Caenorhabditis elegans: one gene and its partner. The protein of the gene in region 1 purifies or fractionates together with the protein of each later gene. This does not show direct contact. Each region holds a gene or a part of one and is shown in the gene's direction. Other genes may lie near its edges.

What was found.
Region 2: the proteins of fbxa-105 (region 1) and tpa-1 fractionate together in Caenorhabditis elegans (co-fractionation; one large-scale study listed by BioGRID). This does not show direct contact.

What each region holds. Positions count from the first base shown.
Region 1 is NC_003283.11:7,381,980-7,397,768, reverse strand, and holds fbxa-105 (F-box domain-containing protein), read left to right. Parts: upstream 1-5,739; 5' UTR 5,740-5,743; coding exon 5,744-5,826; intron 5,827-5,915; coding exon 5,916-5,996; intron 5,997-6,292; coding exon 6,293-6,947; intron 6,948-6,998; coding exon 6,999-7,196; 3' UTR 7,197-7,240; downstream 7,241-15,789. Other genes in the region: srx-9 (7TM GPCR serpentine receptor class x (Srx) domain-containing protein), read left to right, coding at 2,310-2,519, 2,561-2,673, 3,146-3,274, 3,322-3,528, 3,949-4,219; C02H6.1 (N-acetylgalactosaminide beta-1,3-galactosyltransferase), read left to right, coding at 7,898-8,013, 8,062-8,127, 8,179-8,608, 8,651-8,908, 9,245-9,379; C02H6.3 (G_PROTEIN_RECEP_F1_2 domain-containing protein), read left to right, coding at 9,914-10,278, 10,524-11,094; srp-6 (Serpin domain-containing protein), read left to right, coding at 11,699-11,724, 12,152-12,430, 12,477-12,655, 12,721-13,043, 13,094-13,249, 13,297-13,461.
Region 2 is NC_003282.8:84,594-101,571, forward strand, and holds the start of tpa-1 (Protein kinase C-like 1), read left to right. Parts: upstream 1-7,386; 5' UTR 7,387-7,458; coding exon 7,459-7,484; intron 7,485-8,028; exon of another isoform or gene 8,029-8,058; intron 8,059-8,210; coding exon 8,211-8,317; intron 8,318-9,091; coding exon 9,092-9,237; intron 9,238-14,194; coding exon 14,195-14,297; intron 14,298-16,978. Other genes in the region: scl-23 (SCP domain-containing protein), read right to left, coding at 2,297-2,441, 2,801-2,916, 3,153-3,248, 3,439-3,603, 4,116-4,205, 4,255-4,355, 4,585-4,661, 5,222-5,424. UniProt on the Caenorhabditis elegans protein: Diacylglycerol (DAG)-dependent serine/threonine-protein kinase that phosphorylates a range of cellular proteins. Phosphorylates mlk-1, a component of the JNK pathway. Involved in axon regeneration after injury probably by activating the JNK pathway.

The sequences.
Region 1 (15,789 bases):
AATAAAGCAAGTAACAATCAGACATAACACATGCTGCATTTTTGCATCCCGGAGAAATTTCTATGGCATTTTGACAATAGATAAATAGCACTGATCCATCTATGAAAGGATATATGAAGACGATGATAATGATGAACTTGCTTCAAATATAATTTCGATAATTGAAAAACCAAACAGGGAAATACGCGGCCTGAAAGAATAATTTATACTTTTCTAATGCAGATTTTCGTTTCAAAAAATACAAAAAAAAAACTGAAAACAAGTGACATGGGGAACAGTAGTAATAGGTTCATTTTGGAATCGCGGCTTCATTTTGGATTGGCGAGATCTACTGAGACCTAAAAGAGAGAGCGCCACTCCAAAATGAACCTGTTACTACTGGGAACTCCGGAGTAAATATCCTTTACAACTAACCCATGTTCTATCAGTTGCAATTAAAAGAGCCAGAATGGATCTAGTAGATCCTGTTATATATCTTGCCCAGAATATGAAAAACATTGAAATTTCTACAATATGGGAGAGCTCTTGGAATTTGGCCATAGTAATCAAAATTGAACCAAGAAAAAATATAACTGAAAGAGTTTCGATGATTTTTTAATAAAAGCTTTGCACATACTTATAGTACTGAATACTATGTCCAACAAAAATCGAAAATAGAAAAGGGTCAAATCATGTGATTTCTTGAGTTTTTTAAACCTGAAAATAGATTTTTAAATGATGGAAAAATGTTGATATGGGCAGTGGCTACCAAAATATGTCTAGCAGTAATTTTGTGCAAAAGAATATTGTTATAAATGCGCGACCAATTGCTGTAACTGTAATGAATACACCAAAAAAATACATGTCTTCTTTATATCCCACTTTGTTTTCAAGTTAAGTCAGCACGTTTTCCAAAAAAATTAACACACTGGTTCATAATCAAAAGTCAAAACTTTTATTAAAATTTGGAGCAAACGTTTATTCACTGAAAGGTTATGCATTTTAGTTGTGGTTGTTCAGTACATAAAAACTTTTAAAAAAATCGACACGAAAAAAACAAAAAAAAATGAAGAAAAAGGAAATGGACAACGTTTATTTTGAAACTGTATTGTTTTATGGGGTTATTCAAGTAGTGTCGTGAAATTAAAAAGTGTATTTCAGTACACTTTTTGCCTTATTCAAGTAACATGAAAAACATGTATTTCAATACAGTTTGTGAAGTAATTTCGCGACATTTCTCGACATTATGCGACAAAAGCGGACAACTGAATGAAAAACACAGAGAAAGGTGTACCGCAGGGTGAAAATCTACACAATTTGCCGTCGCAGGAGAACAATTCTGATAAAACCACTGTGGAAAATGTGTCGAGAAATGTCGAGAAATGTCACGAAATTACGTCACAAACTGTATTGAAATGTTTTTGAAGTTACTTGAATAAGACAAAAAGTGTATTGAAATACACTTTTTAATTTCACGACACTACTTGAATAACCCCATTAGATAGATTTCGAAACAAAACTTCAGATTCTGAAACTCCGTGCCTAACAATGATGTACTTGAATTATATATGTATGTCAAAATTGTTAATATTAAAAAACCGCGCAAACTCACAGTATACCGCTTATAAATGTGTTCGTTGTTTTGCTGTTCACAGAATGCTTATATGTAATATATCGTTATAAATCTATAAATTAATATAGCATTGGCTGAATGACTAAACCTTTGTTCACGGAACCAAACTAGCATCTCAAATCAAATCAGAAATATCACAGGAAAATTTATTTTTCCTATTCTTCGAAAATAAGTTTTGAACGGAAAAACGAATCTCAGGTTTAGAATGAAAAACAGAAGTTCGCACAGATATTGTAATCTCAATTTAATTAGTATTCTTTTTTTAGGAAACAACCTTTCCAAATGGAATATATGATACAATTCAATTTAATGATTGCCCGATGTGGTAAACTCGATATGACCTCACCAGAATTCATAATTATTCTTAAACAAAATAAAAAATTGTATGAAAAGTTTTTAAGGTCGCAAATATTTTGTAAATCTAATCGTGGGTAAAAAATTCAAATGTGAAAGTTCATGACAAGTGGGTCATTTTCTTGAAATCCCCATTTGGATTGGCTAATGGCAAGAATTTACAGTATTTATCTAATATTGCCATATGTTTCCCGGAAAAATATGTTTAATGTACATATAGGTAATTATTGCGTAACTATTAACGACTAGACATAGAGGAAATCAGTAAATTGGATTCTATATCCGCATAAACAATGTGAGATTCAAATTGAGATACATTCAGTGCCATAATCATTCACAAATAATGTTTGTGAAAAAGCTTGTTGGAGTTGTATTATTTTCATCTTCTATTTTTTCAATATTCTCAAGCGTCTCAATATTTATTTCAGTGTTTAAACTCGCATTCATTTCGAGAAAAAGTTCAATATACGTTATTGCATTTTTCAACATCATTTCTGATTTGTTGCAACTATTTTATCTCTGCTTCTACTTTTCACTTTCAATAATTATCGATGTAAGTTTATTATTAAATTTGTAAACGTCTTTTTTATTCAGCAATATGCGATAGCAGGAGACAAAGTTGGAAGATTGAGCGTCTTTTTTGGGTTCATATTTCTCTCTGGCTGGTTTATGGAAAACCTACTTCAACCAACGATGGCTATAAATCGGTTAGTTTTCACTTTTTGCATGTTATTTTAAAGTTTACATCTTGTGCTTTCAGAATCTGTAATTTGTTCCGGCAAAACACCCCTGTGAGTTGGATTCAGATTTATGCATTCAGCACTAAATTTTCAATAAAAAATTTTCAGGCTTACAGAGGTGTTTTGCCCAAAAAAAGTTACAGATTCTGAAAACCCAAGATGTCAACTATAAAGTTACATGTGAATTTTTTTCTATCGCACATATTTTTTGAATGTTTGACTGTGAGATTTGACACTTTTAAATTTATTTATTTGTTTTCATTTTCAACTATTCAAATTTCAAACACAATATTAGACAAAAATCAATATATTAAACAAATGAGTGGGGGAGGAAAAACAAATTAAGAAGACCGAGTGAAAAAATTCTTTCGTTTTTTAACCAATTCTTTCGTTTTTTAACCCCGCTTGCGCTGCTCTAGCGTTAATTTTCTGGTTCAAGATTTCTCGTGATAACATTTAACAATCACAACATCTTCACATTCAATAAAACGATGCTCATGATGACTGTTCTTATCTCAGCTGCTTTGTTTTCTGCTGCTTGCGCACAATACTTGTTTCCATGCTGCGTGTAAGTTTGTTGCGTTCCAGTCTGCAATAAAAACAAAACAGTTTTAGATTTGTAATCGATTACACAGTCATGGCTTTGGAGCTAGTAACAATAAATGGGGTGCACTCATATACAAATTCCATGTTCCTTGTATACGATAGTATTTGTACGTCTATTTCAATATTTTGCTACATTGGGGTGTTCATATCAATTCGGAATTCAAACAAGAAAGTGTCTACCCAAATTCAAAAGCAAAGAAGAAAACAAGAGATTCGGTAAGCACGGAATGAACATTTACCAAATCTTTGTCTGGAAAATTTTGAAAATTCTAAAATGTTTTCCTGTTAATTATTGAAAGTGTATTTATTGATACTTCTCCTTTAAAAAAATTGTTCAAATAAACGACTCAATTCTACGAAAAATTATGTGGCAATCCAAACAACGAAATTCACTGATAAATGTTCAGACTGACTTTTTGGAAACATCGATTAATAAAATCCCAACAAGACAACCACTAAATTAAAAAAAAAGAGCGTATGAACCAATATAGTTTGGGGCATCAAGTGGGGGAAATAAGTTTACAAAAGGGAATAACATTTAAACGGCAAGCAAAAACTGATACGTTTAGTTTATCTCAGCTTAGACAACCGGTTCCAAACGGCAAGATTGGCAAGTGCTGGATTAACTTTTTTCAGGTACCTTCTCCAATTTATGTTCACTTCAGTTTTCTATATCACCACTTGGGTTATATTTGAAATACTGCAGTATATAATTCCTGACAAAAAGTTTCAACCACACGCAATCATACCAGCAATGATTATACTTAACTGCTCATCAAATTCTGTAATTTTTCTTTCTATTAACAAGGAAGTAAAATGCTCGTTCCAATGTTCATGGTTTATCGACAAACTGGGATGTAAGAAGGCAACTGGAAACAGTCAAGTTACTCCGGTCAATTTAATTTGAATAATTCAAATCTCTTTATATTAATGATACTAATAATAGTTTCTTTTAATAAATACACAAACATCGCTTTACGTATTTCAAGGGCCGGGAACTTTACAGTGTGGCAACAATCAACCACGTCCAAGGCTTTGTTTTTTCCCGCCCTTTTTTTTTTATTTCTTTGCCCTTTTTTTTTGGATGGAAAAAAATTTGGCCGTGGTGGAGAGTTTAACTGTGACTAAATTGTTTGTTTGTTTTTTCCGGCCCTTTTTTTTTCTTTTCCCTTTTTTTTTGGATGGAAAAAAATGTGTCCGTGGTGGAGAGTTGAACTGTGACTAAATTGTTTGTTTGTTTAATTGATGATTTTCCCACTGATTTGTCTACAAAGGGCATCGAAAAGCACCCAATATTTAGAGAACAGAAAATTTTGAGAATTACTGCCTTCAGAAATTGATGATTTTCCCACTGATTTGTCTACAAAGGGCATCGAAAAGCACCCAATATTTAGAGAACAGAAGATTTTGAGAATTACTGCCTTCAGAAATTGACAATTTTCCCATTGATTTGTCTACAAAGGGCATTAAAAGCATCCAATATTTAGAGTTGGTACATGAATGTGCGGGTGTCAGAGAGATGAATAATGGGTAACATGAAAGTAGTGGACGTAAAAGTATTAAACATGCATAGGACATGAGGTGCCAAAATAAGATTCATTGCGCTAATTTTTTATAGAACTTAATACTCTATTTGTGAAAAAGTGCCTTCGTAGTTTGGTTTTGCATTTCCCCCAGATGAACTTGGTTTTGGTACGAGTTTTACTATTTTTGTCTATTTTGAAAAATTGGTCAGAGTCAATATCAACTTTGTTCACTAGCATTTTCGACAAGAAAACTTTATCAATAGCTTTACGCCGAGCCTCTAAAGTTGATAAGTTAAATAGTTCATTACGTTGAATAGCGCTCTTATAGTCGGGGTCATCTGTTCTGATGTATTTTCCCTTTTGCCTGCTGTATAGTTTCCTTGTGAACGAGTTTTGTACGGATTCAATTGCTTTAATATCTTGTTTTTTCAACGGATTACTTACTTCGGTACCATATTCAAGTATGGTTCTCACAAAAGTTTTGTAAAGTAATGTATGGAGCCTTGTGTTCTTACTACAATAGTTCGAAAATATTTGATCTTGTTGCCTGTGACTAAATTGTTTGTTTGTTTTTTCCGGCCCTTTTTTTTTTCTTTTCCCTTTTTTTTTGGATGGAAAAAATTTGGCCGTGGTGGAGAGTTGAACTGTGACTAAATTGTTTGTTTGTCTTCACAGAGTTTGACAAATTTTCCATTAATACTATAAAAATTTCTATTTGAATTTCCATCGTTTGAATGAACTTTTGATCTGAATGATGTCATCATTGTGCTGTATTGACTAACATTGAGAGGCGTCAACCGAGCTGATAAAGTTCGAAACAGTTTGAATTTCATGACACACATTGTTCTCGTTTGGTTTTTTTGTGTCTAAAATTAAAATAATTGCCTTTTTCTGCAATTCCAGAAATGACGGACAAAAAAGAAAATACTTTGGGTGGTTGCTTGCAAGAAACTGCTGAAATAACCAATATGATGACATCGGTGAAATTGTGAGTGAGGAATTCAAAAAATAAGTGAATTATAATTTTCTCGATTGCCTTTCAATTAGAAATCATTGTGTTTGATATTTTAATTTCAGCCCACGAGAAGAGCCAACGTTTTCCAATATGCCAATTGAAATTCTGACTGAAGTAGTGAACAAGTTGGAACCAATAAACCGGTTAGTTATTCACAGTCAATGTGCCCTTCTAGTTTCTTATTTTGAAAATTCTTAAACAATAACTTGCTTAGTAGTGTATAATCGAAACATTTTGAATTCAAAAAATCAAAAATTGAAAAGGATTACCCGAAAAAATCGGAAAAGAAGTACAGGAAAAAAAGTAAATGATTATAATCTATTAAAAAAATAAATAGAAATGACAGGAAATTATTGAAAATTTTTCGTGTTTCAATTTTTTAAATATTGAACAATCGTACATCACACCCAAAGACATCACCAAAGAAATAATCTTCCAGACTTGTACTTCAAAAAGTTTCAAGAAAGCTACGAGAATTCGTAAACAACATGAATCCTGGTATAGCATTTCTTCGAATCGATTTCACTGCCGATTGGGCTCGTTTAATGGTAGACAAATATGAAATTATATGCTCAAAAACGGGAAAGTCCTGTCAGCTGAAGCTTCTCGATGAAGAAAAACACGAACTTCGGAAAAAGACAATTGAAAAATATTATTATTCGGATATAATTCTTAATGACTGGAGAGCAATAATTACAAAACCAAAACTTCGTCTAAACGAACTCTACATATGCTTGCTGTCTGGAGGTCGGACTCGTTTAAATTCGTTGCAAGATATCGAAAACATACTGCAGACAATGAAGCCTCTTCCCGTAAAACATATTCATCTACTTGGATATCTTTTCTCCGAACTTCCAGTAGTTTTTCAACATTTTCAACCTGGAGTTCTTGAAAATATTCGACTGCATTCGTATCAGGTGACAGATGATTTGACCGACCTCGTGACGACATCGGAGCAGTGGAATAAAGCAAAATCTCTTGAAATTACTGGATACTGTACTTTGCCAAAAGAGATGGAAAATTTATTTCATTTTGAACACTTCCAACTGTTGCTAACGCAATTTTCGAAAACGGACGCCAGCAATGTCAAAAAAGTAATATTTATTTAAAACATATTTTGAAAAATATTTAATACTATGTTTTAGGCCCTCAGGAAACCATCTAAATTTGTATCAGGAACTTTCGAAATTTTCATTTACAATCCTGCAGAAGTCGCGAGTGTTTTTGATCCTCAATATACTGGTGGCATTAATGGTTCCATTGACTACAATGTTCTCGAAGCGAACTCTATGTTCAGACTGATTTTTTCGCAGAAACGCATGATAATTGAAAAGATGAGCTAATTTTTGACAAACTGTTTGTTCTCGGAAATAAAGTTTTATTCTTGAAAGAAAACAGGTTCTGGGGTCTGAAATTTTTGAATACTCACAAAAAAGGAAGTTGCAGTAGTCTTTGGGAACTGGTCTTTAGGTCAATTTTTGTAAATTTGTAAATTTTTCTGTTTGAGGATTTCCAGGGTCTCACCAAAATTTGTTTCCAAGTAAATGAACGTCAAATAAACAACAGTCTTCTCTCCAGTAGTCAGCCAGATTTCCGCCAGATTCAAATTGCTGCCGGATGACACTTATTGTTTTATCGTTATTGTTAATTTTCTTGACAAACCACATATATTATTCCTTTTTTCTTCTTACGCCTTCCTTTCTTTGCTTACTTACACACTTTAAAAGTCCAATAAATCCCCGAAATGGTTTTTTTGTTCAAATTGTCTAGATGGTTATCTTTAACCTATTTCGAGACATTAAGTGACACTTTTTAAACATCAAATCTGTAAAAAAACACAATTCATCACTCCTTTGAGGATATGCCATAGCCGCGCCCATTATTTCAAAAAGGACAGCCGATATTCAGGTTTTAAGTATTTTAGCTAATTTTGAAAAAAAAATTAACAAAGTGGTCGGTCAGAAGTTGAGTGAGTCCTTTGAGCTTTATATTAACATTGAAAAGCTTTAAAATATATGCATTTCTTAAGCTTTTTGTTTCAGAGATGAAATATTCCATGAGAAAAATTGAATCAGACCAAATGGATCGCATTGCTCTTTACACACTTTTATTAACTTTTTCATTGAGTTTGATAGTTTTTCCGTTATATCGAAACTTTTTGTAAGAATTTTCATTTTCTGAAATGTTCAAAAATCGTTTTTATTCCAGAATTCCTGCTGATCTCTACACACATTTTCCTGCAATTATTCATCCTTATCGAGAATATTATTCCTTGTGAGTCGATTCTTTCTGCACTCCGTTTCAATAAAACCAGATGAGTTTCAGAACAAGAAACGTAAACAAATTGACACAAGGAATCGAAGATTCAGAAGCTACATACGATTTACCAACATCTGGCCAACTTTTCTGCTTTGTTGAGACTTCCAAAAAGTATTTCAATGATCGAGTGCCTTCTATGGCGTCTACGTGGTTACCTAGATGTGACAATGGACGGTTCTTTCTAAAAACACCCCTGGTTGATGAAAAAATTCCGTTTTCCACAGTTTATCGAAACTTAGAAGATTCCTACTACGATCTCTTCAGAAAAACTCTTCTCAGTTTTTATTACTCGTATACCTACATTTCGAAAGATTTTGATTGGTATTTGAAAGCAGATGATGATAATTATTTTATGATCGATCATCTTAAAGAGTATCTAGATACACTCGATGCTTCGAAACCACTGTTTCTGGGATACAGAATGAAACCTTTTCTGGTAATAAATGTTAGTAGGATTAAAATAAATTATTTCTTTCAGGAAGGGGGATATAATTCAGGTGGTGCGGGATACCTGTTATCAAATGCTGCAGTTCGGATCTTTGTGGAACATCTTTATCATGATGAGAAACGATGTCCTTATGATTGGGCCGAAGATCGAGGAATAGCGAGATGCTTGGCTTCAATGGGAATTTTGCCTTCTGATACAAGGGACAATGATGGTAGCTGTAGATTTCTACCGTTCCGTCCAAGTGAGATGCCCGGAATTCCTGAAGCCTACCATTATTATCCGTTAAAGGTAAGAGGGAACAAATATTTTCATATATTGACATCTTGTTTGTTGTGAATATTCTGAGCAAATATGAGTGACATTCTATTACCGACAAAGAAATAGGAATTTTATGAAGGTCTCAACCACCTTTTCCTCCGCCCGACTGTTACCAACAAAACAACCAACAAAATTCGCATAAAGAAAAAATTAAAATAATCTAAGAATCTAATAGACAAAAATATATGAGCTTTTCAACTGTGTATTAGCGACAAATTGATTCGCGGGGGAGTGGAGGGCGCCAGTAGGAAGAGAGAAAATTTTATTAAATTATAAATTCAATACACAAGTAAAGATTTTTTTCAGAATGGCTCTTTTGTATCCGAAAAGTTCATCTCACTTCATCGAATTTCGCCTCGGAAAATGATATTTCTAGACAGCATTCTCTACCCAAGCTCAGAGAGGCGCTTATTCACTCCAGAATTCTTCGATATTTTCTGATTTCTATTTCCACTGTGAAATTATCTAGTCATTTCTTCACTTATAAATTAGAAACATTTTTGTAAATGTAATGAGATTTTTTTTTCGAAATAAAAGGCTATGTTTTTCCCTCTGAAGTTTACAATTTTTTCAGTTTTTCAGTTTTCTGACACGTGTTTCGCATGACTCATATTTTCGTATTTCCAAATGAAAACACGAAAGAAAAGTTCCCACTAATGAGATTTAGACATGCTCAGTTGTATGGTATCAACTTCTAATAAAGAATGGAGTATACTGCATACCTTGATTTTAGAAGCTTTTAGCTAGTTTTCCTTACACATTTGTTTTTTCTAATAAGAAATGCCATTTTCCTCTGATTTTCTCTCAAGCAACCAATAATTTTCAGCAAACAAGAAAGGCTGATATTATTTCATAACCTTTTATTCAAAAGCTCCGCCCAACCCATTTGCGTGAACAGCTTTCCAGCTGTTGATCTTTACTTTTTTTAATCTGAAATTTTAGAAGAACACGTTTGTTGTGTTTATTAATTTAATCATGGAGTATTTTATCCAAGAAAAAGTTATGTCTAACATTTGCAATCATAAAATATTTATTATGACGTCAATTCTAGTCTTACTTTTATACATTTTAATGTGGTTCCGAAAAAGACAAACGCTAACAAGCTCCTTGTCGATTTTTGAAGTTCCATTAATTATGTCATGCTGTTCCATTACTATCTCGGCTATTTATCTACTTTTGAAACAATTTTTGAGAACAGAAAATTATGAAAGCGAAAGCAAAGTCAATATCTATAGTTTGATGTTTTACGTGAGCACAGACTTCATTACTATGGCAAATAATGTTGTTCTACCTTTGTTGTTCAGTCATACCCTATGTTTTTTCATCAAAAGCATAAAATTGTAAGTGAAAATAACACTTGGGAGAACTATTCTGGAAATGATTTTATGATAAGAATAGAGCGAGAGTTGTTAAAAAGTCATATCCTAGCGTCTGAGTTCTGCATTATGTATTTTGATAGGTGGAAATCGAAAACTTTGTTTTTACAATAAAAATGTTTATGACATAGCTTTTCAAACTTCCGTATAGCAAATATTTTCAATAGTTTTTGAGTGAAACCTTCAACAATAATCTTCATTTTTTTCAGCCGTGTTTTCATGGTCTTTATCAGTTTAGTATACACCAATTTAAAATATTTCATACTCATCAAACTCGTGCCAAATTTCAAGCAATTCTATTTTATATCTAACATGAACCCTGCAAACTGTCTGGTCATCAATCCTATCGACTTATCAATGATGTTTCTTACAGTATGTTTTGTTTTTGTACGACTACGATATTTGAATGAAACCTTAACCTATGAAGACTCTATCGTTATATTGGAAATTGTGGTCTTTATAGTAATCAAAGTTTATGGGTTAATTGCTGATATGATATCAATTAATTTATTCAAAAAAGAAATGCTTCTTACAATTATGATGAAAGATCTGAAAACTGAAGTGTTGCTTGCTAAAAATTATCAATTTAATCAATTAATACTGCCGTATCTGTTTGTATTTTGTGGAGTTTTAATACGACTAGATGATCTAAGAAAGAAAACAAAAGTTCAAATGTCTGAAACAAATGGAAATGGACAGCACAAGTGTAACATTGAAGGAAAAAATAATAATACAGCAAATCATTCTGATGTAGTTGGAGAAAATTTAGAGAACGAATAAATTGAAAATTCGTTATATATTTTCATTGGAATAAATTAATTGTTCAAATTGTGTTATTGTTCTTAAATAAATTTAACTATATTAATTTGGTTTCAGAACTTTAAAGGTCGTTCTACTTTCAGATTAATGCGTATATTTCAAAAATGAATTTGTTGAACATTTGATCAAGAAAAAGAAGGTTACGTTAAAAAAAAACTTATGCATATTACATTTAAACGTTTGTTCTATTTGTGTTTGGACCCAAGCTTCATTTCTTCAGTATTAGAAGTGTCTGTTTAATATGTGCAGATTGATTTATGTGTTTTCTACGAAAACGTGTATGTCAGAATACATAATAAATTGCGAAATCACCTGCCTGATCATTTGAATTTTCATTTGTTTTATTTTAAATTTTCCCATATTTGAAAGTTGTCTCATAGTCCATCCACTTCACTTCAATTTTCTTTTTCATACCACGAAATTGTTGGCAACGTGATATATTAATAAATTGTGAGAGAGTGCAGGTTGTGAGCGTAACTAACAACAAACATTTCAATTTTGGCATTGGAAACCACCGCACTTTTCATTTTTCGCAAGTGAACACTTTTCTTCAATTTCGAAAAAAATGTCGGATTCGTCGTCAGATGAGAAGTGAGTCAGCTATACATTTCTTCAAAATTTTATTGATTTATGTGTCGTAGTAAATTGTAAAATTTATAATATCCAAATGGAAATTGATCAAATAATATCAGGTTTAACGAATTCATCGACTTTTCTAGGTCACTGGCTTTTTATTATGACCGAAAAAAAATCTATTTCGGCACGTTTCATTGTAGTATCATAGTTTTGAGAACAATCTTTTTCAAATAAAAAAACTGGAATTGAAAATCTAGATTTTCGTGGCGAAAATACTTCAACACTTATTCTTCTAAAATCGATAGTGTTTGTGCACCAGTGGTTGTTTTGTTCGCAAACAATGTCTCAATGTCAATGTTCGAGAATTTCGATCAAAAAATGGTCTCACGAACTTTATATCTAGCTTTTTTGGTCTTGTTCTCAAAAGTATTATAATTTTCAGAATGGGTCTTCTTCTCCATTCGGAGACAGATTTTGGACTATCACTACTCCGTCAGCAGAACCTCACCGAGTCCTTTGTTTTCTCTCCGCTCTCCATTGCCCTCGCACTCTCTCTTGTACACGTGGCGGCTAAAGGGGAAACTCGTGATGAGATCAGAAAAGCATTGCTAAATGGTGCAACCGATGAGGAACTGGAACAACACTTTTCCAATATTTCTGCAGGGCTTCTGGTTGCAGAGAAAGGGACAGAAGTAAATGTGGCCAATCATATTTTCTCCAGGTTTTTGGAATACCTAAAACACAATTTTTAACTTTTTGCTTTTCAGAAAAACTTTTACAATCAAGAAATTATATTTGAACGATGTTAAAAAGTTATACAATGCTGGAGCTTCTCAATTAAATTTTGAAGATCAAGAAGCATCTGCTGAAGCGATTAACAATTTTGTCAGTGAAAATACCAAAGGTCACATCAAAAAAATCATCAACCCGGACAGTATTAGTGAAGGTATGTAAGCCATCGATACAGTCCATTAAATTCCAGTGTTTCCCTTTGAGAAAATACATTTTCAGAGCTTGTTGCTGTGCTGACGAATGCTTTCTACTTCAAAGCCAACTGGCAGACAAAATTTAAAAAGGAATCAACGTACAAGCGAGAGTTTTTCAGTTCAGAAAACTCCAAAAGAGAAACTGAGTTTCTTCATTCTCGTAATTCAAATCGAAAGTACTCTGAAAACGGCCAGTTCCAAGTTTTGAGTCTTCCGTACAAAGACACCAGTTTCGCTTTGAGTATTTTCTTACCAAAAACTAGATTTGGTCTCTCTGAAGCTCTTCAAAACTTGGACTCTGTCACTATCCAGCAATTAATGTCAAATACTTCTAACACGTTGGTCAATGTGAGTTTATACAATCATTAAATCCAATTTGCAAACTTCTAACATTTCAGATTGCAATGCCAAAGTGGAAAATCGAAACTGCACTTGGGTTGAATCGAGCTTTAATGGCCGTTGGAATTGAGAAAGCTTTCACAGATTCCGCAGATCTGAGCAACTTTGCAGATGGAATCTATATTTCACAAGCAGCTCACAAAGCACTTATTGAAGTAGGATCATATATGTCTGCTTTCAAATTAAAATTGTATTGTTTCAGGTCGATGAAGACGGAACTGTTGCGGCTGCAGCAACAACCATTTCATTTTCACTTACATCAGTTTTTATTCCGGCCGAAGAACCAATCGAATTCACTGCAGATCATCCATTCCTATTCATCCTCTCAAAAGATAACCATCCATTGTTTATTGGGATTCATAACTAGTTAATTGTTTCATTCTGTGATTTGTTTGAACTCAAAAAGAATGTTCACAATTAATAAATCAATTGAATTTTTTTTTTACAATGGGGAAAATTTTGCCAACATAATTGTCATCACTTAATTTAAGAATTGAACACTAAAAATTATTGTTGTGACTTAACGCTATGATATTGGCCATTGTCTACTATTCTAATTTAATCAGAAATACGTGGCATGTATACTTTTGGTATAGTGAATCGACAAAGTTGAGATGAGATCTAAAAAAAGAGATTTGTTCCAGCAAAAGAGACCTAGATGAAAATTCCTCAAATTTGTTTTCTTAAACTTCATTTGTATACCAAACCAGCAATTGTATACAATCCTAGTATTATACAAATATATACCAGCGATTTCATAAACTGATAACGTTTAAGAAAAAGTCTAAACTTTTGTAATCGTTTGCTTTTTGAAAATAATGTCTGATTCTCTACGACTCATATTGAAACAATATTTCCTTCGTTCCCATCCCATTACCACCTCCGTTCCCAACATTAACATGACTCGTTCAAGATGCATAGTATATAAGAAACACTTGTGGGCCTATGGTTCATTCATATCATATCAACTCCTAAATGTAACCAACCGTCCCCCAAGTTTTCTAAAATTTCCTGAACCCTTACCTTTTGTATTCTTATACAGGGTGGTCCATAATTATGCATGAGAAATGAATGTGTTTTGAAAATATTTACATTCTATCCTACACTTGTCACCATAATCATGATTCACTCTGTATTTTTATCAATAAACTATTCATCGGGAAAATATTGGAATATTTTCCGTACAATTTTTTTAGCGAAAATATTTTAACACTTATTCTGTTAAAGTCGATAGAATGTTTGTGCACTAGTAGCTGTTTTGCTCGCAAACTGTGTCTTACTGTCAATGTTCGATCAAAAAATGGTCTTACGAACTTTATCCCTAACTTTTTTGGTCTTGTTCTCAAAAGTTTTATAATTTTCAGAATGGCTCTTTTTCTCCAATCAGAGACAGATTTTGGACTATCACTACTCCGTCAGCAGAACCTCACCGAGTCCTTTGTTTTCTCTCCGTTCTCCATTGCCCTTGCACTCTCTCTTGTACACGTGGCGGCTAAAGGGGAAACTCGTGATGAGATCAGAAAAGCATTGCTAAATGGTGCAACCGATGAGGAACTGGAACAACACTTTTCCAATATTTCTGCAGGGCTTCTGGCTGCAGAGAAAGGGACAGAAGTAAATGTGGCCAATCATATTTTCTTCAGGTTTTTGAAATTCTAAAATAGTTGTTTAGCTTTTTGATTTTCAGAAATAATTTTACAATCAAGCAATCATATTTGGATGATGTCAAAAATTATACAACGCTGGAGCTTCTCAATTGAAATTTGAAGATAAAGAAGCATCTGCTGAAGCGATTAACAATTTCGTCAGTGAAAATACCAAAGGTCACATCAAAACAATTATCAACCCGGACAGTATCAGTGAACGTGTGTGAATTTTGAGTTCCAATAATTTTCGGCTATAAAATATATTTTCAGATCTTGTTGCTGTGCTGACGAATGCTCTCTACTTCAAAGCCAACTGGCAGACAAAATTTAAAAAGGAATCAACGTACAAGCGAGAGTTTTTCAGTTCAGAAAACTCCAAAAGAGAAACTGAGTTTCTTCATTCTCGTAATTCAAATCGAAAGTACTCTGAAAACGGCCAGTTCCAAGTTTTGAGTCTTCCGTACAAAGACACCAGTTTCGCTTTGAGTATTTTCTTACCAAAAACTAGATTTGGTCTCTCTGAAGCTCTTCAAAACTTGGACTCTGTCACTATCCAGCAATTAATGTCAAATACTTCTAACACGTTGGTCAATGTGAGTTTATACAATCATTAAATCCAATTTGCAAACTTCTAACATTTCAGATTGCAATGCCAAAGTGGAAAATCGAAACTGCACTTGGGTTGAATCGAGGTTTAATGGCCGTTGGAATTGAGAAAGCTTTCACAGATTCCGCAGATCTGAGCAACTTTGCAGATGGAATCTATATTTCACAAGCAGCTCACAAAGCACTTATTGAAGTAGGATCATATATGTCTGCTTTCAAATTAAAATTGTATTGTTTCAGGTCGATGAAGACGGAACTGTTGCGGCTGCAGCAACAACCATCTCATCTTCCGTCGGATCAGTCCAGCGAACCGAAAAACCAATCGAATTTACTGCAGATCATCCTTTCCTATTTATCCTCTCAAAGGATAACCATCCATTGTTCATTGGGGTTCATAATTAATTTATTGTTTCATTCTGTAATTTGTTTGAACTCAAAAAGAA
Region 2 (16,978 bases), on another chromosome or scaffold:
AATTTATTTTCTCCTTAATTTTTAATTGACCGTGCTCCATAACTAACTGGACGGCAAAATAAAAAAATAACTCGATCATCAATTTAGCTGAAACACTTCTCATAGTCGATGCACCATGTTTTAGGGCGATTAGTTCATTTCTTCAAGAAAACGAGCTTTCTCCACTATAATACATAGCACAATTTTTTCCGGCAAATCGGCATATTGCGGAAATTGAAATTTCCGTCAAAACGGCAAACTGCCGGAATTGAAATTTCTTGCAAATCGGTAAATCGGAAAATTGCCGGAATGGAAAAATTCTGGCGAATCGGCAAACCGGCAAATTGCCGGAATTGAAAATTTCCGACAAATCCGCAAATTACCGGAATTGAAAATTTCCGGCAAATTGGCAAACCGGCAAATTGCGGATTTGTCGAACGACCATTGCCGCCCGATTCATAATACATACATGACTGCCTACACGTGGTGTCAGAATGCCCCATTTCGTTGTGATCTACAAAAAATGCGGGAGACGAGACGCAGACTTCTCAACTGATTTCGCATGGTTAAGAACGTGCTGAAGTCACATTTTCTGGGGAAAAAATTCCCGCATTTTTTGTAGATTAAATCGTGATGGGACAGCCTGGCACCACGTGTGCCTAACAAAAAAACTCGGCCACCAATGTTGCTCGAACATTTTTTTGGTCGATGCACCATGTTGTGAAGCCCATTGCCTCAAAAAACCCTCCATCTTCCGTTTTTAACGAGATTTCTGAATTATTTTTTCAACATCTCTTGGCTACGTGACCACAATTATAGAAAACTAGGCCATCAATTGTTTTTTTTTCATCGGCCACCTCCCCCTCCCTTTGCCAGGCTAGTACACATCGCATGTTCATCTCATCTCCCAACCAGGGCTGGGACTTTTTCGAAATTCCATTTTCGAAAACGAAAACGAAAATTTTCGTTTTAAAACACGAAAACGAAAACGAAAACGAAAATGGCACAAACTGTACTTACGGTTTTTAGACCATATGTTGCCTCAAAAGCTTTTTTGTTGGCAAATACTTATTTAATTCTCTCTCATTGACTTACTTTGCTCATTAACTCACTTTTTCAAAAAAGATGCATATGTAAATAATATGATAGCACGTTTCTTTGTTCAGAGCTCCAAAGAATGTTGGGCTGGCTTACCGAAAGTATTGAATTTGGCTAGAAATTTATTCAAGCAGGAAATACAACTTTTTTCTGCAATATCTAATAGTAAGAAATTTTTGATGATACTTGAAAATTTTTGTTTTTTTTTGTTTTGAAAACAATTTCCGATGTCGAAATTTTTTCAAACTTTTTATTCGAAAACTTTTCACAAATTACCATATATTCTTTATTAGTGCTGCATCTCCAGTAGTACTGCAGTCTCTAATAGTGCTGGATTCGAAAAGCGCCTGGAAATTAGTGTTACATGCAGCACTGATAGAGAATATACGGTAATCAGATATTAGTCAAAAAGTGCATAATTAGTTATTTCTTCAATTAAAATGTTCAAAACACGATTTCAGATTAAAAATTGAGCTACAGTAGAATCCTTATTTTCGAAAAAGGCATTAAGTTCTACATCCTATATATAACTCAGCGGAAAAAAGTATGTTTTAATGACCAATTAACAAATCGTTTGAACAAGGAAACGTCCTGTCATAAAATGAATGAATCTATTTTGACGTAAAAGAGTCGTTTAATTTTTATCCAAAACTGAGAACTGTTGCATTTTTTGTTCTTAAAGTTGATCTTCAGTAATAAGTTTGAGGAGAAAATAATTGATTTTTCAATACTATCCACACCGGAGAGCAAAATTTCGGCGATAGTTCCAAAAAAAAAAAAGAGAAAAAACCAAGTTTAAATAAAGTCGTTCTATTTTCGTTTTTCGAACACTTTCGAAAACGAAAACGAAAAAATTCGTTTTCGTCAAAACCCCGAAAATAACGAAAAAACGAAAACGCGAAAACGAAAAAGTCCCAGCCCTGCTCCCAACACCTATAATTTTGCAAAAATCGCAGGGTGCTCTTCTCACACCCATATACATCCATAAAACATAGGCCTCAGAATTGGCTCTTAAGAGCAATTCACGGCAAAAAGAAGGCTCCTTAAATCGCAGTCAATCAGAGCAGTTCGGAATGCATCTGAATTATTTGTTTTTTTTTTGCGTTTTTCTGTCCCTTGCTCCGTGCCTCCCTACTCTGACTACTACAAAATTGCTGTCAATTTCTGGATTTTCCGTCTCTTGAGAACTGCTTTATAATTCTCTCTTCACACCCTCAGTTCACTTTTCCTTAGACCCTTCTTGCCACGTGGCAGCCACACAAAGTCCGGTTGACGGATCCCCAAAGGTTCCTTCGGAGCAGGCACTTGCAACGTCACCAACTGAGTAGATTGAGGTTGGTGTGGAGGATTTGAACACGTTTCCACTGAAAATTTAGAATTTTTTGAGGAGGCAAGGGATTTAAATACTACTTGTCAAATGACACAATTCAGACTAAATAAATATTTTCAAATATCTTTTTTCAAGGAAAATATGCCTCGAAACGGGAACTTTTTTTCAGGTTTTTAAAGAAATTTGTTGCTGAAATTATTTTTAATTTTTCAATTTTCTACCTAGCAGTTGATCAAATAATATCGATTTTTCAAATGGAAAACACAGTTTTTGACATCAAGCTGGATAAATATTCAACTAACAATTTGGAAATAAAATTGCCGAAAAAAATTTGAAAAAAATGTTTTACATATTTTTTTTCCCGTTTTTCTTTCGAATTTTCAAAATTCTCACGTGGGATAGTATTTGCAGACAGCCACATTGTATTTCTGTCCGTCGAGTGAGCCATCTTGTCGAGCCGGGCACTCTTGTACCGCGCATCCCAGTTTTCGTGTCTCTTTCCATAGGATCTGAACACTTTTGAGTTCAGTCTTGCTAGGAAAGTCTTTATTTCAGTTTTATGAGAGTCGTAATATTTGGATATTTCGAATTTTTGAAAAATTCAACAAAAATACAAAATTAAACAAAAATTCAAAATTTTCAAACTCCCATAACTACTTCAATTTTCAATTTCTATTTTCAAGTTTTTCAGTTGATATTAGGCTTAAAATGTAGGAAAACATCTAAATTCATGTATTGATTTTACCTGTGTCGCGTGTCCAATCCGACTATCGTACCGTGAAAGCTTCAAGTTCTTGATCCCCGCAATTGCAATCTCATCACCCATTCTCTGGATTCCTTTCTGGAAAATTAAATAGGACTTTCGGAATTTTTTTTGGGATTCCTCCAGAATAGAATCCCAATTTTTCTGAACATTCCTAGCTTCTCAATAATTGAAAATTTGCTGAAAGATACGGAATTTTTCGAAAATTCGAAAAAAAATTGACACTTATTTTTGCTTATTTTAGAGAGAAAGTGTTTCAACTACTCACCAAAACGGCCCCCGAAACGTCCAATCCATCGGTGGTCCGGAAATAGAAGGCATTTTCGCCGCGAACCTCGTCCCATCCATTCATTTGTCGACCCGAATTCTCCTTTTGCAAATTACATTGTTGAGCACGTTGTTGAGCCTCCAATTCGAGTTCACAATCCCAATCCTACAAGAAAGAATTTATTTTTTTCGAATTTCTTTCTTGATGAGTAGTTTTTTTCCAAAAATTGGCGATTCTATTTTACAATTTTGAACCGGGATAGTTTTTGTATTGTGCCCGACACCTTTTTGGATAGCGCCCGGCACATTTCGGGTTGCGCCCGACACTTTCTAAGTTCCGCGCATCATTCTCCGACACTTTCTGTGTTCCGAACCGCACTCCTCGACCCATTTTAGACAGCGACCGAAACAATCAAGGACCCGCCCCGCTGTCTCCGACAATTCTTGCGTTATGACCGACATTTTTTCGGTTGTGCCTGGCATTTTTGAGTAGCGACCGACACTTTTCGGGTTCCACGCATCTCTCCACGACACTTTTTATGTAGCGCCCGACATTTTTTTAGTTCCGCTCGGCACTTTTAATGTAGCGCCCGACATTTTTTGGGTAGGGCCCGACAATTTTCGGGTTCCGCTACTCCTCGGTAACCTCAACAACCCCATAGAGTTGCCAAAACTCACCAATTTAACCATATTATCCGCCGGAGGAAGATAATCATCATCAACAGCATACTGTCCCAAAGCCACTTGCGAGCGAATTTCATTGTGTTTCTGGAAAAGATTGTAGTCAATTAATAATATTAAATTCCACAACAAATACATCAAGTATCAAATTCTGGAGTCTCGCAGGCAAATTGAGTCGGCAGTACGCGGGTGCCATTTTCGTGATGACCGAGAATCGAGACGGACGGGGTGTGCTCGCTGCAAATGGCATTTTTGTGTGTGCAATTTAGAATGTGGTTCTTGTTTTAAGGTTTTTGAATTGGGTTTTGGAGCGAAAATGCTAAAAATTCAAAAAATTCGGTTTTTTTTCAAATGTTGGTTTTTGGCTCAAAATTTTTTTTAATTGATAGTAATTTGACTATTTAATTTTCTTTTAAAATGTTCAAATTCCCGCAAAAGATGTTTGACCAATTTTTGCAAAATTTACCTGCTAAAATATTGTATGATAGGGTGATTACAGTAACCGCAATGAAAACTCCTTTCAGTCGCATTTGCCACGTGTCTCTGAAATGTTTAATTTTAGTAAAGTCGGCAGGCACGTAGGTAAGCAAATAGGTAAGCAAGTAGGCATGTAGGCAAAAGTAGACACCAAAGCAGGCGTAGGAAGTTGTTTGGTTTTTTTTTCGCTCTCCCTGCTCTCACTTCATTTTGCCGTACCAGCCAAGTAGGCAAGCGGATAGGAATAATGGTACACACGTAGGTAGGCACATAGGTAGGCGTATATTAAGCACGACAAACGTTGGATTTTTGTAGGTAAGCGCGTAGGCCTGGTAGGCATATAAGCAGGCACATAGGTAGGCATGTAGGTATGTAGGTAGGCCCATGAATAAGCCTGGTCCACACTCCATTTTTTTCGACTTTCGGTCATTTTTGAAACCAGCGGGCTGGCACAAAAAATTTTCGACCAAAATAAAAACGCCTGTTTAATTGAATTTAGGACCTAAACCTGACGGAAATGTACGGAAAATCGTGTAATTTCAATTCAAAACCTAAGGTTTTTAGTTGTTTTCCCTTCAAACTTTTGTAAAAACTTGGCCCCCCCCCCCCCTCCCCCTTTTCCTTACCTTACAGAACCAGTTCCAGCGTCGACCTTTCCCTTGTCTAGGTCTTCAACGAATCTTTGTCCCCCATCATTTGTCCCTTCCCGATTACCAACTGTTCCTTTTCTTCTTGTTGTCGCCGTTTCTCCGCCGATCACCGCCGCTATTTGCATACGTTCGTCAATTTCTTGTCCGTCGGCAGTCTCCATTTCTCTTCGGGTATCCATTATCGATAAACTTTCCCACACTTGATAAATATCCTCGTATTGCTCTTTTTGTAGAACACTTGGAAATTGAGCAAATTTCGAAATAAATTAAAATTGTTGTTTTGAAAGCTGTGGATTTTTTTTTGGAAATTTGAGGGAGGGGGGGGGGGGCAGCGTGATGCCCTTTATCAGTAAATTTTTATCACCTTTTTCTTTTTTTGTTGTCAATTTGCCTCCCAAGACGTCGGTGACTAATAGTCGATGATATGATTTCATTGTCTGGCTGGATATTTTTGTCTGAAATTTTAGTTTTATGCCAATTTAAAAAGTATTACCTGAACTTTTATATATTTTTGAAATTTTCTGATTTTGCGCGGTTAGATTTCCAGTATACAAAATTTTGAAAAAAAAAACCAAGAGATTCTAAAAAACCAATCGTAAACTAATTGTAAATTTTTTTAAATTTTCCCTAAAATAGGCTCCGCCAACTTCTTGGTTCCTTCACAAATTTTTCTAGTTTTTATCGGGATTTTTTTCGTTCTTGTATGCCGTGCTCAATGTTTTGTATTTATTGCTCTAAACTTCAGTATTGAAATTGCAAAGTGAGTATTTTTCCTTGTTTCTACTCTACATTTCGGCTCCTCCGAGCCCAATTCGATTGAGCCCATTTAATTATAGACTCGCCTTTCAAACTACTTATCTGCCTACCTTGAAATTGGAACCTCCTATTTTCTTATTTGTACCTACGTGGTTTCAGGAAGAGCTTAAACATTTTTTTTTTGAAATTTTGAGCAGGATTTTTTTTTGGAAAAAAAAATAGGAACAAAACTAACCTGCAATTTTTTTTTGCTGAAAAAGAAAAAATTTTTTAAAACTTCAAAACATAAATTTATTCCAGTTTCCAGAATTTTATTTTAAAAAGTTTTGAAAAAAAATTCCGTTTTGTCATCGTAAAATTATGGAAGAAATTGAATAACAAATTATTTTAGAAATGATTCAAAAAATGATCTAAAAACTTTAAAAACTTTAGCTAAAATTTTTTCAGAACTTTTCAGAATTATTATTTTAAAATTTTTCACACAGATTAATCCTGTATTTTTCGAAATTTATCACTACTATCAAAAAGTTTCCAATTGCCAAAATATTAAAAATGTTGTGATGACTATGTTCTTAGTTGACAGTTTTCTAATAAGACCAGTGGTTTTTGAGTTATGCACTAATAAGTTGTAAAAAAAAATTTAAAAAAATTAGTAGACTTTTTCCTCTACACTCTATTCTTTGAAAGATTAAAACCTCATCTAGACCTAGACCTCATTTTGTCAATCAAATTCCAAATTTTTCATCAATTCCCAATTCAAGTGTTTTATTCAAGGGTGCGGGGGTCCCCTTATACATTTCCAAAATCCGGGCGGCCTTTTCTCGCCCAACTTTTGACATGACCCGAATCCGCCCTCCCCTCCCTCTACCAGAGCCGAAATTTGAAGATAATACATTTAACGAGTCGCTTTCTCTTTTTTTCGTTTTTTTTTGCATTTTTTCACCCCTGACATGACGTTTCTTCTCCAGCCACAACTGCACATTGCTCTTTTTATTTTTTTGCAGAAGAGATTTAGAAAGCTAAATATGATAATTGCAAGATTTTCGCATTGTAAATAATAATTTAAATGTTTAATAAGCTTTAGAAAAATACAATTTTGAACCAATAAATGGGCGGAGCCTAGATTTAATTTTTTTTAATTTATTAATTAAACTATGGTGCCTTGTAATTTTTTGAAGTCATGAATATAAAAAAAAAATTATTTAAAAAATTAAAAAAACATCTGATTCTTTTTAAAAAATCACCCAACAATTGGGCGGAGCCTATTTTCGGCTTCTACGCAGTTTCCAAAAAATTTTTAATACTTTTTTTTCAAATTAATCTATGTATGATATAACTAGTACCAGTCTATTTTTGAGTTTACTCCTTTTATTATTTTTTTTAATTTTCAGGCTATCGACATCTTCTCTTTGGATCCGCCGCCGGAGAGCGAGACATCACTGGAAGCGGACTTCGTGATGGCACAGGCTGAGAATGCGTGTCGGTGAGTAATTGAAAATTATCACATGGATAATTATGCAAATTTTGAGTTTGAAACAAAACAATTTCACCCAAATTTTGATTCTCCGCTAGAGATGTTTTTGAAAAATTGAAAAATTTTGAGATTCTTGCCAAAGTTCTCAAAAAATTCAAATTAGAATTTTCCTCGCCAAAACTTTTTGAAATAGTAAAAATTATGATTTCCAGCCACATAATTCTGATATATGGACGAATATAATTTTGGGCCATTTTTTTTGCAAAAAATTAAATTAAAGAATACTCAACTTTGTAATGTCTTATAAAAATTTCTGAAAAAGTAAAATTTGAATTTTGTTTTTTTAAATCAAATTTGCTTTTCCGCCAAAAATTTATTAACAATTTTATAGTAAAATTTAAAATCTAAATTTAATAAATTTTCAAGTTTAAAAAATTCCACAACAAAAATTCTTAAAATTAAAGTTTAATTTTCCTTCCGGAATTCCCTAAATTAAAGTCAACATGTGACGTCACAGGCTATAAACTACAAACTTTGGACAAAAAAATTTCAGTGAAAAAACCCCCACAGAATCTTTGCAGCAGTAAGTGCCTTCCCCCTTTGTCTCTCTGCTCAGCCCAGCTAAAACCAAAAAAAATCACAAATTTTCTCCTCTCTCGGTCCTTTTGTCCTCTGAAAAAGTGCACACCACATCAGGGAAGCCTTCCAAAAAAACATTTTTCCATTTTTTTGCAGGCTGAAGCTTCTTCGAGCGGACGTTCCAGTTGACTTACTTCCGGCCGGATGTTCAGCAACTGATTTGCAGCCGGCTGTTAATGTGAAGGAGAAGATTGAAGTGAATGGTGAGTTATTAGCTTTTTTTGAAAAAGAAAAAAATTTCGAAAAATCTAAGTTCAAGGGGAACCTCTACCTAAAAAACAATTTTTATAACAATTAAAATATTTTTTTAAAAATTCGATTCGTGTGAATTTTAAAATAATTGTAGAAAAGCTACTGAAAAAACTGAATAGTCAAGAAGTGGGAGGGGCCTGTTTAATATCAAAGTTGAAAAGTTGAAAGAGACTCCGCCCATTTCTTGGTTTTTTTACAGATTTTTTAATGCATAAAATTTTTAATATCAATTAATAAGATTTTTTTAATTGACATTAATTGTTCTCAGTTGATATAATTTTTGCAAAAAAAGAGAGAAATCAATAAAATCATTTACTATATATAAAGTAGAGTTTTCTTCCGTCTAATGTAGGCTATGCCAACACGCAAAACTCACGTTAGTTTGAAAGTTTTCGTAAAATTTAAAATTTCATTTCAAAAAAAAATCAAATTCATTTAAATTCAAACCAAAAAAGTAATTCCGAGGGATATTCGAACTTTAGTTTGAGTCAGTCGGAGGAGGTCGAGCCGTAGGCTCGAACGACACCGGCTGGTACTATAAATAATTTAAGTTCAATATTAAAACAAAAAATGATTTGCGAAACATTTTTTCAATTAAAAAAATCAGAAGTTTTTTTTTAATTTTAGGAAATATAGTTTTAATAATTTTCAAACCCCAAGTGTTTTTTTTTTCAGAATTCAATGTGTACAAATAAATTTTTATTCAATTATTTATCATTTTCCAGGTGAATCCCGACTAGTCCAAAAGAAGAAGACCCTTTACCCGGAATGGGAAAAATGTTGGGATACCGCAGTTGCCGAGGGCCGAATTCTACAAATTGTGCTCATGTTTAATCAGACACCTGTGGTCGAAGCAACTATGCGATTAGAGGTTAGTTTTTTTTTTTTTTTTTTTGAATATTTTTAATTGAAAAATAAAAATAATTCAGTTTTTTTTTTCAAAAATTTCCAATTTTTTTATTAATAGTTTTTAGAAATTTTGCTGAAAAAAAGTGTCAGAAAAACCAAAAGTGACTAACTATATCCCACCCAAAGATTGGGCCGAGTCTCAAAAACCCAAAAAAAAAACTCAAATTTTCTGAAAACCTCTGAAAAAACCTCTCATGGCAATATCTTTTTTGGAAACACGGGATGAAAACAATTCCCAAAAAGTTCTACTCACGAATAGGTGTACCTTAAAATATTCCGCTTACAAAATGGCTCACCAATATGACGTAAAAAAGTGGATGAGCACATTTTGCCACGTGGCAATTGTCGTAGCTTTGTATGAGAAGTTGGCCCCATGGGACCACATCTTAGAAGATCACAGTGGCTCTTGGCTCTTAACGGAGCAAAATCTGCTGCTGGTGCTCTTGGCCATTTATTCGGCTTCACCACATTTTATGAGAGACCAACGACGAATTATTACCCTTTCCTTTTCGACTTTTATGGCGGTGTTGAGATTTTTGATTTTTGAAAGTTTAGGCGGAATTTTTTTTTTGTTTGAAAAATCACCAACGGAAACTATGACGCTTGTAGATTTCTTGTTGGGCTATGAACTTTTTTTATTTTCATTGCTAAAATTCAAAAAAAAACGAGAAAATTACAGAAAAAAGTAAAAACCCGCCAAAAAAAGCCAAGAAAGGGGCAGTGCCTAAACAAATTTGAAAAATGTTTACTGGTTTAGTTTCTTTTTGTTTTTGAGTTTTGAAAATCATTCCAACTATGCATATGCAGTTTGAAGAAGAATTTTATTTAAAGAAGAAATTCAAAATTTCAAAATAAGCTCCGCTCATTTCTTGGCTATTTTTAAAGTATAAAAGTTTTAATTTTTATTTAAAAAGGTATTTCCTTACTTTCAAAAAAATTAGTTGAAAAATTAAAATTTGCAAAAAAAATTTTTTTGAGAAATTTGGTTTGATTTTACCAAGTACATTGGAAATTCCTTTAAAAACACTGAAAAATATAGAAAAAAAGTAGTTTTTTTTTAATTCAGCAAATTTCTAGTTTTTTTTTCGAATTTAAAAACTTTTCCCGCCATTTTTGGCACTGTGTCAATTGAAATTAAAAAATTTTTTTCGACTGTAAACTCGAAATAATTTGAAGTTTGAATTGCAAATTATTCTTTGAATTTTCTAGAAAATCCTATCAAAATTTAAAAAAAATATATATTCAAATTTTTAAAATTCCCCAAACTTCTCTAACACCAACTAAATTGTTCTAATTACAGCTACTATATCGCCCATTTGGTAATAAAAAATTCCAAATTATCCCATGTGAGCCCCCTACTTCAGGAGCAAAGAGGCGTGGTCTAAATTTCGGCTCCTAAACTCCATTGCCTCCTAGATTTCTGGTTTTCTTTTCGAAGCTCGGTCGGTTGAGCAAATTTTGAAAAAATTGCTTTAAAAAAATGACCGAAGTTCTGAACGATATTTATGAGGCTATTAGTCTTCTAATTAAGGTAAGAAATTCGGATTGTTTGCCACGCACATTTTGTGGGCGGAGCTTATCACAGCTTTTGATTTTCAAAATGGTTTTCTGGCAGCATTAAGAAAATTTCAGAGTGGTCAGAAGTTAAAAAATTTTTTGTAAGTTCTATAGAACGGTTTAGAAAATTCCAAAAAAAAAAAATTAAAGATAGTTTTTAAAAAATTTCAAAATGTATAAGACCGGTTTAGAAAATTTCCAGAATTTTTCAAAAATTCCTAGAATTAAAAAAAATTATCTGAAAATTTGTGAAAATTCCAAAACATTCCCGAATTTTACATAATTATAATAATATAATTTTCAGAAAAGAGAAAATTCTCGTGATTTCTACATATAATTTTTTCAATGATTTTTCAGAAACTGAATAGAAAGCTGGAGAAAAATTCAAATCTTCTGTAAATTCTTACACTTGTGAATTTTTTCCTTTGTGAAAATTTTAAACCTTGAGTCCTGTTTTTTTTATTAACAGATAGTACCCAATAACTTAGTTTTACTTTGCCATTTTTCAAAAAGTATCCCAAAATCGCAGAGATTATACTAAAGTTTGTAAAAAAACGTTTTAACCCAAAAAAAAAACATATTTTCCGTACATTCTATTTCTGGGAATATTTTTGAGGAAGCCTTTTTCAATTTTTATGAATACCTTCTAGACGATGTAAAGTTATAAAAGTTTCTGAAATTTGGAATTTCAGAAAAATTCCAATTTTTAAAACCTTTTTTTTTCATTCGCCGAATAGCTTTTTATCTACTTCACTTGTAATCTTTCTCCAAAAAAGTGCAAACAAGCATCTTTATTCCCATGGGACCTTCTCCCCAACTCCGGAAGCTCCTCTTTTTCAACTTTTTCACCCCATTCACTCCTTTTTTAAGGATATTTTTATGCTTCTCTATTTAGAAAAAAAACAACATATAAAAAAGTTGGTCCTGAAAAAACGACAAATTGGCCAAGAGAAGTTCGAAAAACACAAAGACGGGGGCGGCGATTTTCATAAACCTGCGGAGCCGATTCGCCTCGGGCGGTGCCCTCTCCCCTCGTTTTCATTTTATTTTTTCCATATTTTTCTTGCTCAGTTTTGGAGCAGCTTCACTTCAACCCATAACGTTCGTAGTATTAGCCTACCTCAAAGTGACGTCATCACATTTTTTCGAGCTAACAATTTTTGGAAAAAAATTTAAAAAATTTTCAAACATTTCTAAAATGATTTTTACAGTTCCAGAAAATTTGAGAATACTTTAGAACTTGTTGGAAAGTTTCAGAATGCTCCAGAAAAATTCAGAATAAATTCGCATAATTTTCAAAAAAATACTCTAAATGTTTTTTTCGAGCTTTGAAATTTTGGAATTTTGTATAAAAACCTATCAAAAAAACAATATTGGAATTAGCTAAATTCTGTGATTTATGTTTTTAAGCAAAAAAAAATTGGTGGCCGAATTATTTTATTTCCGCGGCCATGTACATAAAGTCTATTTCCCTCCACTCCTGTGACGTCATGACAAGGTCCGCCGGAAGACAATAGTTACCAGAGGGACGAAGCACACCTCTTTGGTAGTTTTTCACAGCTTTTTCCCATTTAGAAACTTTTTTGGAAACTAGACTTTTTTTTTTTGAAAACTGAAATTTTTGGACACTTTATTTGTATTTTTAAATTTCCCAATTTTCCCCCGATCCTCTAAAAATTTCAGTGATCTGTTTTGACTTGGTTTTCTACAAAAAAATTTGATATCTCTCATCTTATCACTAAATTATCATCTATCACGCAATGTTTTTTGTGATACCTGGTGTTTGACTGAAAACATAAATTTTTAGGAACAAATTTGAGTGTTTAGAAAACTTTTTTTTCGAAACTTTTCGCATTTTACGCTGTGAAAAAATTTCAAATTCAGAATTCTGTGATTTTGGTAACTTCCAAGTTTTAATAAGATTTTTCAAATTTTTTCATAATTTTTCAAACTAATATAATTGTGAAAATCATCAATAATTCCAACTAAAATTTACAACAATTCTAAAATCGATTTTTTTAAAAATTCTATATTAGAATCTAAAAAATTTCATTTTAAGAAAGTTTTCGTAAATTTAAAATAAACATAATTAAAATAAATTTCATTCAAATTTTTCCCAATTTCTAGTTTGAAAAAAAAATTTAATTTTCAAATTTAAATATCGCTTCTAGATTTTTTCGGTAAATTTCAATTTTTCAACAAAAATTTTCGCTTTTAATAAACTTTTGTACATCAAAATTTCAATTTAAAGTCTTGTAAAATATCATATCTATAGAAAAATTTCTCAAATTCTATTCAAGTTTCAAAAATCCTCCTGACAGCTCAAACTTTGACCCAAATTTCCAAAAAAAAAATTCCATACACAAATTTTTGTCCCTTTTTTCTCTCATAAATTGGGTAACAACCACGGGCGGAGAATAGGAGAAGAGCTCTGAGGACGAGGATGGAGACGGGCGGTTAAAATTGAATTTCGGTTCGAAAAACATACTCGCCTTCGCCATTTTTCCAACAACCCCCGTTTTTCTTTTTTGTGTGTATTTGTGGGCGTGTAACTGACTGCCTGCCTTTTCAAATCACGGAATATAACCACCTCCGGATTTTTTTTTGGGATTTTTCTTAAACTTCTAGGCTTCGGGCTTATATCTCACAATCAGTTAGTACGAGTTTTTGAAAAAAAATTGCCAAATGGTAATGTGTCTATTGGATGTTTCTTTATATTTTTACAAATTGCTACATGAACCAATGTATGAGCTATCAACGAATAGAAATTTAAAACATGGTGCATCGACAAATTTTGAAAACTCCTTTTCTTGGTTAATTTTATGGTTATTCAAAAATGGCCAACTGACAAAATATTCATTAAATTAGTTTTCATATTTTTGTAATTGACGGTTTTTAGATCTGTAAAATAACCCGAAATAAAGCCTTGCGAAAAGCAAGAGCTGTGAGATATGGTGCAGGAGTATGGTGCAGCAATTCGACAAATTATTCGAATTTGCCGCAAACCCTGCAAATTGGTTTTTTTTTTTAATTTTATGTAGACCGACCTCAGCAAGTTATTCAAAAATTTGTGCTCCTAGAAATATCAGAAATTTTCTAATTTTTCGGAGTTTTCTCAGAACGGCAAATCTGCCGATTTTGCCATTTTGCTTTTTGCAAAATGTTTATTAGATGTTATTCTATATATTTTTTTTCACTAAACGTGTACTGATATCTTAAAAGCCAACCAACATATTCAACTTTTCTCTAGAGCGTCTCATTTTTCTTTAGAACTCTAGAAAAAATTAAAGAATATCCTAAATTTATCAAATTTTTTGCAGTATTTCCCTAATTTCTCCATCCTAAAACTAATAACTTTCCAGGATATAATCTCAAAATGCAAAAGCGACGCGATCACTCACATTTGGATCAATACTAAACCAAACGGACGGATTCTTGCGCAGACAAGACATTTGAAGAATGCACGTGAGTTGGAGTTTTACGGGGAACGAGCGGATACCTGTGAAATTTATTCCAAAAAAAATGGAAAAAACGTTCTCACGGCTATAGAGTGTCGCTAGAAAAAGTGGGGGAACAAATAGAAATAGAGATGCCTGATTTGCATTGGAATCACTTTTTCTTGTCGGAGGGTGTCTTGGGAAGTTTCAATGGTTTTTTTTCCAATTTTTGTATCATCATTGTTTTAATATGTGTTACTATGTAAAAATTCGCAATTAAATTTAGAAAAAAAAATTAAAGAAAACATAGGAAGTTTTATGAAAACTCATAATAGCGGGGTCTGTATAACACTTTTTTTTACTTTATAAAATTATATATAGAATTTACTCTTGGCAATACAAATGTTTTATCTGGTAGAGAACAATTTAAGATTTTGCAATAATGAATTTGTAAAAATCATAAAACCTCCGGATAGGCTCCGCCCACTTCTTGGCAGTTTTTTTTAAATGGTTTTTCAATTTTTTTTTGTAATTTTAACTTTAACAATGGTTTTTGTTCAACTTTTTTGTCAACTGACAGTTTCATTCATAAAATGTTTCTCATATATTTTTGAAATAGGATCCGCCTACTTCTTGGCTATTTTTTGCGCTTTTGGAATTATATTTTGTCAAAAAAAGTGCTTGTAAAGTTGGTGGCCAAGTTTTTTTTAGCGGTCACGTTTCCGAAAAAAAATTAACCGTCACAAAAATGTATCCTTCAGAATTGATCATTTTGGGCAAATTTCAGAAAACTCGGCCACCAACTTTTTTTCGCGGCCATGTTGCAAAACTCGCACAATTGCCTTGTGGCCGTAAAAATAAAACTTAGCCACCAAATTTTTTTCCGCGGCCACTTTGCCAAAGTCAACACCAATACCATGATAATTGTTTGACACAAATCAGAGTACTCTCTGATCAATTTTTATCACTTCTCCTTGAACTTTCTTCAGCGAATACACACCTTTCTCATTTTTCTGCTGCTGCTGTGATATCTTAACGTCATTGTGTTGTGATCCCCCGTTTAAAGAGCACTATGCAAAAAAGAAGACGTTTTGCATTTCCTCCTTGCCAGAGATTTTCCATTTTTGCGAATTTTTTGGTTTAACGTCACTTTGAATCTGGATCCTTTTAGGCATGATACTTCCGTTCGGACTTTGGGGTGACAGGGCCGTGGCCGAGGTTCTCATTTTTGCAGAGGAACACCTGCCCAAAGTGCTTTTTTAGCTATATCTCGGCCACCGTTAAAGTTTTGTAAAACTATTTATCTAACAATTTATTGGAAATTTTGTGGTGAGCATTTCGTTAGAGATAGGTGTTCGATAATAGTATGGTAGGTGAAGTGAGTTTTTAAAAAATCTTTAAATTTTTAAACTGCCATAACTCCGCAACCGCAATAGTTATAAAAAATTGAATACTAACAAAAAATAGAAATTTTTATGTACATTATTTTGTTATTCACCAGTTTTTTGATAACATTATATTCCGCGGAGTTGCGGGTATTTTAAGCCAAGAGAGGTCTTTCATTTGAAAGTTCTTTTATCTCAGTGGGCAAACTAGCTATCAGAAAGTTACCAACTAACAAATAGTTTAAAATATTGTTATAAGTATTTTCATAATTATCACTTTTTCTGGCAATCCTATTAGTTTTCAAGTTATTGATCTGTAACTCGGCAAAAATGGCCCTCAAAAGTGCCAATCTAAGTAACTCTTTGAACTTTCGAGCTTGTGCTCTTTTTCTTCATTTCCACGTAGACTAGAACACTTTTCTTATACAACCCCAAAAGCAAACATTGAAAGTTCGGCTCTTTTTTAATTTAAAGCCTCTACTCTCCCAGCTCCAAAAGCTCCGCGAGCCTTCAGAAATCCAATAAACTGTAGGTGGTAGTGGTCCCATTGACCTTTAACTTTTAAAAGAAAGGAAAAAAAGAAGAAGCTAGGAAATTTTTTCCCTCTCTCTGCAAAAACTCGGAGAGGAAAAGAGGTAAGCCGCCCGGTCACAAGTATGCAAATCTCGATGCGCTTCTTTTTTTTCCAACTTTTCCTCTTTTTTGTTGGATTCCGAGGCATTTCCCACTGCCAATCTGTCGTTTCTAATTTGCATTTTTTCCTTACTTTCCAACATTTTTTCGCCCCACTTTTTTTGCCACTTTTGGTCCCACACCGCTAATTGATTGAAGGTAGGTGACGTGGTAGGCGTTGCCACGTGGGTTTAAGGGTCTTGAAACGAGAACAAGTTACTTGACAAATTAGTAAACATATATGAAAGAGGTAAACCAGTTTAGAAGTGTTTAGAACAATAAAGTTAGTAGAGATAATTTTTTTGAAGAAAACAATTTTTTTTTGGATTTTTTTTTTAATTTTCAAATAAAAAAAACTATTTTATTTTTTTACAAACACATTTTAAATTTACATAAATATTGACATAGTATATGCAACGTATTTTATTTTTTATCTTCGAATGGAAAAACATTACAACTTAAAAAAAAATCAAACAAAAAATTTTAATTTGTGAAAAAAAAATTTCAAAATTTTTACTTCTAAATTTACACGATTATTAAACTTGTAGCGATTGTTTATCCTTGTCCAGATTTTTTTAATAATGTTTTATACTTATATTAAAACACAAAAAAAGTTGATATACTTCGTGTATCAAGTTTTAACTGTGAAGCT